2 linked regions of the Macaca fascicularis genome follow. The protein of the gene in region 1 binds, or shares a complex with, the protein of each later gene. Links are inferred from orthologs where the notes say so. Each region holds a gene or a part of one and is shown on either strand. Other genes may lie near its edges. The genes, in order: PEAK3 and YWHAB.

The links.
Region 2: the proteins of PEAK3 (region 1) and YWHAB are in contact, whole or in part, in a cryo-EM structure (PDB 8DP5), measured with the Homo sapiens proteins. The link is inferred for Macaca fascicularis from reciprocal best matches to the Homo sapiens genes PEAK3 and YWHAB. Residues at the interface, in NP_940934.1 of Homo sapiens: Arg66, Thr67, Gln68, Ser69, Leu70, Pro71, Thr72, Arg73; in NP_003395.1 of Homo sapiens: Val48, Lys51, Asn52, Arg58, Lys122, Arg129, Tyr130, Gly171, Leu174, Asn175, Val178, Glu182, Ile219, Leu222, Asn226, Leu229, Trp230.

Annotation. Positions count from the first base shown.
Region 1 is NC_088393.1:2,936,588-2,941,101, reverse strand, and holds the start of PEAK3 (protein PEAK3), read left to right. Parts: upstream 1-1,479; 5' UTR 1,480-2,073; intron 2,074-2,501; 5' UTR 2,502-2,576; coding exon 2,577-2,658; intron 2,659-4,514.
Region 2 is NC_088384.1:100,980,807-100,985,083, forward strand, and holds the start of YWHAB (14-3-3 protein beta/alpha), read left to right. Parts: upstream 1-1,203; 5' UTR 1,204-1,376; exon of another isoform or gene 1,377-1,815; intron 1,816-3,146; 5' UTR 3,147-3,241; intron 3,242-4,277. UniProt on the Homo sapiens protein: Adapter protein implicated in the regulation of a large spectrum of both general and specialized signaling pathways. Binds to a large number of partners, usually by recognition of a phosphoserine or phosphothreonine motif.

The sequences.
Region 1 (4,514 bases):
AAGGATGTTCATAAAGGAAAGGTAGTCTCCTTCCTCTCCTTCCCTTTCTCAGGGGATTGGGGGAGGCCAGGGGGACTCAGCAGTGGCTCTGTGGACCTCTGCTTCCAGCCTCGAGCTGCTGTGTGACCCTGGATGGAGCCCATATTGTCTCTGGGCCCATTTCCTTCAGGGAAATGGGATCGGGAACCCCTCATGAAACACACTCAATCTTTGCTGCAAGAACATCTTTGGGGCCGGGCAGGTTGGCTCACACTTGTGATCCTAGCACTTTGGGAGGCCGAGGCAGTGCAGCAGGACGAACCACAGACAAAACTCCTTAGACACTGGATTAAAGAAGGAAGTGGATTATTCGGCCGGGAGCATCGGCAGACTTGTGTCTTAAGAGCCGAGCTCCCCGAAAAAGACATTCTTGGCCTTTTTAAAGGCTCACAAGTTTAAAGGGTCCATGTGAAAGGGTCGTGATAAATCGAGCAAATGTGGGGAACGTGAATGGGGACTACAGGCATGAGCTAACAGACCAAAAAGTTTTACAATGCTTTTTCCATACAGTGTCTGGAATTTACAGACAACACAAGTAGTTTAGGTCAGGGGTCAATGTTATTATTATTACTTTTTTTTTTCTTTTGTTTTTTTTGAGACGGAGTCTCGCTCTGTCGCCCAGGCTGGAGTGCAGTGGCGCGATCTCGGCTCACTGCAAGCTCTGCCTCCTGGGTTCACGCCATTCTCCTGCCTCAGCCTCCCGAGTAGCTGGGACTACAGGCGCCCGCCACCACGCCCGGCTGATTTTTTGTATTTTTAGTAGAGACGGGGTTTCACCGTGTTAGCCAGGATGGTCTCGATCTCCTGACCTCGTGATCCGCCCACCTCAGCCTCCCAAAGTGCTGGGATTATAGGTGTGAGCCACCGCGCCCCGCCTATTATTACTTTTTTTAACTCCTAGGGCCGGATGGTTTTGCCAAGGTTGTCTGGCTATTTATCTTACTTTTGTTTCTTTCTAACTGTTTGCTTTGTCTCTCTCCTCCTGTCTTGTGAACTAGGCAAGGTGAGGGGAGGAGGGCAGCAGGAGGAGTAGTGGGCTCCTTCCCTAGCCAGAGGATCGCCCCAGGAGTTCGTTGCAGGCTGCAGTGAGCTGCGATTGCCCCACTGCGCTCCAGCCCGGGCAACAGTGTGAGACCCTGTCTCCAAAAAAAAAAAAAAAAGAAGACAGTTTTGACAGGCACACACTTCAGCTGGAATTTCACCCCGCGTCTGCTTTTCCTTGGGTTTTTTCCATTCTTGATTTTTCCATTTATGGTGATTTTATCTACAACGTCTTTTCTAAATAAATGCATCGAGGCAGTGAGGAAGGGGGAAGGGGGAAAGTGAGCCGATTCCGTTTTTTCGAAGAGAAATCCAGCAGGCGGGGCTGTTACCAGGCGGGATGCGGGAGACGCTTTTCTTTATTGGCCAGAGCACGGAGAGGGGCGGGGATTTGTCCACAGTCACACAGCCAGGCGCTGCAGAGCCGGGAGGGTCCTCGCCCACACTCCGCATTCGGGGGCCCTGGGATCGGGCAGGGGGCCGCTGGGGGCTCCTCAAGATGCTGCCACAGGAGGGGAGGCGGTTCCCGGGGAAATGAAACCCACAGACCCCACTTTCACCTTCTCCAGGGACAGCCGTCACCACGTTCTGTGCCCTCCCTACGGTGGGCCAGCTCTGCCCCTCTGCCCATCTCACAGGGCTCCTCACTGCCCCTACCCCAGCCTGGCCTCTGAGGCTGTCAGCCCTGGTGCTATTGACTTTCAGATCCCACCTCCTGGTCTCCGTCCGGGCTGTTCCCTCCGCCCGGGATGCTGTTCCCGGCTACATCCTGTCCTCTGAGGGCGGGCAGGGGAGGGGGCGGCCGCAGTTGGTGGGGAAGTGTTGCCGAAATGCCCCCGCCCCACCCCGGGCTGCGGTCTGACAGTTGGCCGGACGTTTTCCTGTCAGCTGCCGGCGCTAGGTCAGACCCCTCCTGCGAGGCCAGGGGCTGTGGCCATTGGGAGTTCGTCCCCCAGGACCCCTCCTCCCCCAGAGGGCACGCCAGTCTTGAAGGTAGGGGGCTCCTGGAGCAGGGAGCTGGACAGAAGCGGTTACTTTTTCAGGTTGGGATCTGGGCGGGGGTGGGTTGGGGCCTGGTTGCCGACAGCAACCGCACAGCTGAGCCCTCAGGGAGGAGGCCTGAGTGTGGATCCCTGGGTCCCTGGACACTGTCTCCCCCACAACTGACCCCCAAAGACCTGTTCTCAGGCTGAACATTCTGTCCCCATCCCAAATGTGCAGTGGGGGTTCCTTCCCACTGCCTGGAAGATTGATGGATGACACACCTGCCTCATGATTGAGGAAGTAGGCCCAGAGAGGGCAGAAAACCCACTCGGGATCACACAGCAGGGTCAAAACTGGACAAGGGAGTGGAGTGTGGGTGCCCCTGTTCTCACCAAGGGCCCTGGAGCAGGGGGCCTCAACGGTCTCCCATGCTGTAGCACTCACGGACCCCTCCCATGTCGCCCTGTGCGTGCGCCACCCCACCACGCCCCGTCTGACCTTCCCCCAGCAACATGAGCAGCCCGGAGACTCCCACAGAGCCCCCCGAGCCCGACGACCCCACCTGGTCGACTCAGCCCACATATAGCAACCTCGGTGAGCAGCTCCCCGGGGAGCCCTGGGCCGGGGGCGTGCAGGGAGCGGCAGGGGGTGGAGGACACCGTGGCCTCTGGGAACAGCAGCAGTTGGTAAAATGAGTGACCTCAGGAAGGCCCGGAGTGGGCGAGGGCTGAAAAATAACCTGTGGGTTGGTGGGCGGGGTGTGTTGGCTCACGCCTGTAATCCCAGCACCTTGGGAGGCCGAGGCGGGTGGATCCCTTGAGTCCAGGAGACCAGCCTGGGCAACATAATGAGACCCCCCCAATCTCTACAAAAAAAAAATAATAATAATAAGATGGACATGGTGTCAAGCGCCTGCAGTCCCAGCTACTGGGGAGGCTGAGGCAGGAGGATCCCTTGAGCCCAGGAGGTCAAGGCTGCAGTGAGCCATGAATTGGAAAAAAAATATATACCATTAAAAAGAGAGAGGGAGGCCGGGCACGGTGGCTCAAGCCTGTAATCCCAGCACTTTGGGAGGCCGAGACGGGTGGATCACGAGGTCAGAAGATCGAGACCATCCTGGCGAACATGGTGAAACCCCGTCTCTACTAAAAAAAAAAAAATACAAAAACTAGCCGGGCGAGATGGCGGGCGCCTGTAGTCCCAGTTACTTGGGAGGCTGAGGCAGGAGAATGGCGTAAACCCGGGAGGCGGAGCTTGCAGTGAGCTGAGATCCAGCCACTGCACTCCAGCCGGGGCGACAGAGTGAGACTCCGTCTCAAAAAAAAAAAAAAAAAAAAAAAGAGAGAGGGGCTGGGCACGGTAACTCATGCCTGTAATCCCACCCTTTAATCCCAGCACTTTGGGAGATCAAGGAGGAGGATCACTTGAGGCCAGGAGTTCAAGACCAGTCTGGCCAACATGGCAAAACCAGTCTCTGCTAAAAATACAAAAATTAGTGGCCGGGCGCGGTGGCTCAAGCCTGTAATCCCAGCACTTTGGGAGGCCGAGAAGGGTGGATCACGAGGTCAGGAGATCGAGACCACCCTGGCTAACACGGTGAAACCCCGTCTCTACTAAAAAATACAAAAAAACTAGCCGGGCGAGGTGGCGGGCGTCTGTAGTCCCAGCTACTCGGGAGGCTGAGGCAGGAGAATGGCGTAAACCCGGGAGGCGGAGCTTGCAGTGAGCTGAGATCCGGCCACTGCACTCCAACCTGGGTGACAGAGCGAGACTCCGTCTCAAAAAAAAAAAAAAAAAAAAATACAAAAATTAGCCAGACATGGTAGTGGACGCCTATAATTCCAGCTACTCGAGAGGCTGAGGCAGGAGACTTCCTTGAACCTGGGAGGCAGAGGTTTCAGGGAGCCAAGATTGAGCCACTGTACTCCAGCCTGGGCGACAGAGGGAGACTCTATCTCAAAAAAAAAAAAAAAAAAAAAAAGGCCGGGTGCGATGATTCAAGCCTGTAATCCTAGCACTTTAGGAGGCTGAGTCAGGCAGATCGCCTGAGGTCAGGAGTTTGAAACCAGCCTGGCTAATATGGTGAAACCCCATCTCCACTACTAAAAATACAAAAATTAGCCGGGCATAGTGGCGGGTGCCTGTAATCCCAGCTACTCGGGAGGCTGAGGTGGGAGAATCGCTTGAACCCAGGAGACAGATGTTGCAGCGAGCCGAGATTGGGCCACTGCACTCCAGGCTGGGCGATAGAGCAAGACTTAAAAAAAAAAAAAAAGCCAGAGAGACACCTGCCCAAAGTCACAGAGGTAAGAGTAGGAGTCGCTGAGTGCTGGGTGGCACCATTCTCTGAAACTGATCCATCCTCCTATGAGCTTCAGTTTCCTCTTCTGTAAGCTCTGTCCCCCAGACTGGAGTGCGGTGGCGCAATCTCGGCTCACTGCAAGCTCCGC
Region 2 (4,277 bases), on another chromosome or scaffold:
ATCCCAGCACTTCGAGAGGCTGAGGCGGGTGGATCACCTGAGGTCAGGAGTTTGAGACCAGCCTTGCCAATACGGCGAAGCCCCGTGTCTACTAAAAATACAAAAATGAACCGGGAGTGGTGGCATGCCCCTGTTATCCCAGCAACTCAGGAGGCTGAGGCAGGAGAATTGCTTGAACCTGGGAGGCACAGACTGCAGTGAGCCAAGACTGTGACACTACCTGGGCGACAGAGAGAGACTCTGTCTCAAAAACAGAAAACAAAACAAAACAAAATCAACTACCTTGAGAGGAGTAGAATGTCGGTAATTGTGAGAGCAGTCATGAGGGGAGGGGAGCCATGGAAGCCTGTTTCCTTCCCTGAACTTCCTCAAGGAGGGGGCATCTTAAAGACGGAATCATCTACACAGATTTTTGTGGGGTTTTCTTGGAGACAGGGTCTCACTCTGTCGCCCAGGTTGGAGTGCAGTGTCATGACCATAGCTCACTGCAGCCTACAACTCCTGGCCTCAAGCAATCCTCTCACCTCAGCTTCCAAAAGTGCTGAGACTACAGGCGCGAGCCACCGCGCTCGGCCCTACACAGGTTTTTGAAAAAGACCTTTGTGCGTTGGATTCCTGGCACTTCCAAGTGGCCTCTTCAGTCTACCAAAGAAGGAAAAAGTAAGTACTCCGAAGGATTGAAAGGAGGATTAAGGGAACATTGAGGGATGAGCAATTTCTGTTCTTCCCTACCTCCACTATTCCCAAAGCACACAGCAAGAGGACTGACATCGGCTTCCGACACCGTGAGGATTACTTTCTGGGTGGAGGGGGGACTGCTAAACCTCGAGTCTCCGTACCTGGCCCTGGCGCGTTTCCAGTCTGAGCAGAAAAGGAAACCCCCACCCAGACCTCACTCCTAGTCCTCCGGGTGCCTTTACAGCCCGTATCTTGACCACCCCCAGCTCCGCCCTCTCTCCTCCCACCTCCTTTTCCCGCTCCCCCGCCCCATTTCCTTCTTCTCCGCCCACCTCCTCCTGGGTCCCTCCCCCGGCCATGCGCCCTGCCCCGGCCGCGGCAACCCTGCCCTTCGTTCTTCTTCCTCCTCCCTTCCGTCAGCGCCCCTCCCGTGGGGCCGCGGCAACCCCGTGCCTCGCTTGCCCAATGAGAACACGGCGTGGGGCGGGGCGCGGCCAGGACCGGAGCGGAAGTGGTGACCGGAGCGGAAGTGGAGCTGCCGCCACCGCCGCCGCCGATTCCGGAGCCGGGGTAGTCGCCGCCGCTGCAGCCACTGCAGGCACCGCTTCCGCTGCCTGAGGAGTGGACTTGGGAAGGAAGAGGTCATCTCGCTTGGAGCTTCGCTCGGAAGGGTCTTTGTTCCCTGCAGCCCTCCCACGGTGAGTGCGGCGCGGGGTCCGACCGGGGCCCCCGGGGGCCCAAATTCGAAGCCCCTCTTTGGCAGCTGCGACGACGGCGGCCCAGCGGGTGGGCCCCGGGGGATAGCGGTGCGCTGCCTCTTCCGCTTCGCGCGGCCGCCGGCGGCGAGGCCAGGCCTCGCAGCGGCCCCTCCCTGTTTCCGGGGCCGGGCCCTTTACCTCTTGGAGAGGCCCGGGCCTCCCTCGCCGCCTAAGGTCCTGCCGGCCGGGCGGGGTGCAACTCTGTGCTGCACCGTGAGGGACAGCGGAGCCGAGGGTCCCGGACTCTCCCTCACTATCTGATTCGGTCCCTCACGCGACCCCTCCCTGCGTCTTGGTCGGCAAGAACCGTCCTCTTCAGCCCAGTCACCTCTGCTCCGTGCTTTCCGGTTTCCAGAAATTAAAATTTAATCAAACGCGGGTGAGTTTTCTAGCCCCAGTCCCCCTGTTTGACTCCTCCTGGATGAGTAAGGGGTTTAACCTTGGGAGACAGCAGTGGGGGAACCCCCTCCCATTTTGCAGTAAAACCATTTCATCATCCTTAACTGGTTATGGAGCCTGGCAGGACCCAAGATTCCCTAGGAAGGGAATTGGGTTTGAATCAAGGAAATGTGTTTGTTGGAGCCGGTTACTGAGTCAGGCCGGATCCCCAGGAAAAAATATCGGGATGAGAATCGGAATATTTTCCCACAGTATTTACCGTCATTTAATGCCAAATTCTTTTGTGTCTTTACCCCAAATTCCCCCTATTGTGTGTTAGCACGTTTTTCGGTCTGAAATTTGCCCGGTGGCTTCCTGGTCGGGGGGTGGGGAGCGGAGGGAAGAAGAGGTGGGAAGGTGAGTGCATCTTTGCCGCAAATGGAGAACTCCCATATAATGAGGTTTCCAGAGGTGGCAGCCTTGGTAAGCAATTTGCCAACCTTTCTGTGAAATGCATGTCTCTTGTCGTTGCCTTCATTGCATTTCTCTTTGGTAAGGCTAGATAGCATCAGGTCCTGATTTTGCTTACCCTGTGTGGGAGATGGAATTTGGCAAGATGATGCTATGAACATAAAATCAGCCTGCCACGGAAGCCAAAACAGAAAGGTGAAGCACTTATAAGAATATGAAAATTGTCTGCATTTCTCATTCTGTCAGTTCATATGAAGCCAGACACAGATGCAGTTTATGGAGCTGGACCCTGCAGCTTTTGCATTTTCATGTTGGAAATTTATATAAGTATTTGTTCTTGGTGAATTTCTTCTTGACTGCTTCCATGGTACCCTATTTCTTACTTAGGGATATCTCATTTGTTTGAGCCCTCATTTTTCTTGGATTCCTGTCCTTGGCAACACGAAGTGTATGAGTGTACAACCTGTCAATCTTATTGGACCTGAGTTAGAAATTTAAGTGTGGCTTTCAAAATGGAAGGCAAATAATCCTGTAGCAACTGCAGAATTATTTTCCTAGCCTGCCCCTCCAATGAGATAAGAAACCATTCACCTATCTTGCAGATGAAGTCTTTATGAGAAATGAGGTGATTTGGCCTAGACTCTACACCTAGTTTTTTTCAAATTGAATATCCTCATTCATCAGTAGCAAATATGGATTGCCAGCCCCTGGAGTATGACTCCTACCCTATAATCTTTTGTACATTTCCCGTCTTGCAGTGCTTGCTATATTGAAGCCATTTTAGAATTGGAGCACTATAGATCAGGGAGGCAGCCTGTATAAAACCAGGCTGAGCAAATTCCCACGATGCTGGTTCTCTAGGCAGAGTCTCCAGAGATTTGGGCCTCTACAAAAAGTGCATTTTGCCCATTTGGCTGTGGATAGAGAAGCAGGAAGAGCACTGGACTTGGAGTCAGGTAAATTTGGTTGAAATCTTGCCTGCAATATTTTCTAGCTTTCTGAATCTTCAGCATGTTAGTCTATGGTTCTTAGTTTTCTTATCTCCAGGGTTATCATTAAGCCTTTTTTATAAACTGTAAATTGTTAAATAGAAGCTTTTGGTTTTTTAATTAGAGTTCACTATTAATGGCTTTTTCTCTCCAGTTAACATCTGATGACACTAAACCCTGCTTTGTACACAAGTTGCTTTCAAAAAATGGTATATTATTATGGGACTTTATTTTGCATGTAGGCAAATCTAGTCTTTCTGAATCATTTTCTCATCTATATAGCGCAAATGGTAATGCAGCTTTGGATAATTTTTGTTGTGACAAGCTCAATGAAAATAAGCATCTGGGATATAGTTGGGGTTCAATAGATGTTTAACCATCTGCATGAATATACACGTGTATAGATTAGACATAGCATATGTGCTATTCATGGACATCTATATAGAATCCATCCATTTGTGATTTATCTGATGAGGTGGTATCAATTAGTCTATAATAATAATTACCACTTACAGTACTTACTGTGTGCTAAGCTTTCTTTTAAGCACTTTAAGCATATTAGCTCAGTCTTCATAACAACCAATGAAAGGTAAGACTATTAGCCCCATTTTACAGATGAGGAAACTAAGGCACTGAGAAGAATAATTTTCCCGAGGTCTCACACACAGCACAAGGTAAGTGCCAGAACCAGGAATGAAACCAGATGATCTGGTTGTAAGGAATGATATTATAGATTTCTACGTGTGGTAGAGACAGCACATGTATATGTTTTGTGTGAACACCATTTAGTCCTTAATTTTTCTTCACACCAATCCTAATAAACGTTTGAATGGGAATACTAGCTATTTTTGAAGATAGATACAGGACGATTTATTGTGGAGCATATACCCATTCTGGCCTGTAGGGATGATATTGTTAGCATGCATCAGGAAGCAAGCTTGTGAACAATCCAGTTTTTCTAGTACTTGCTTCATACTAGGGAGAAAGTCATCAGTTACTTTGG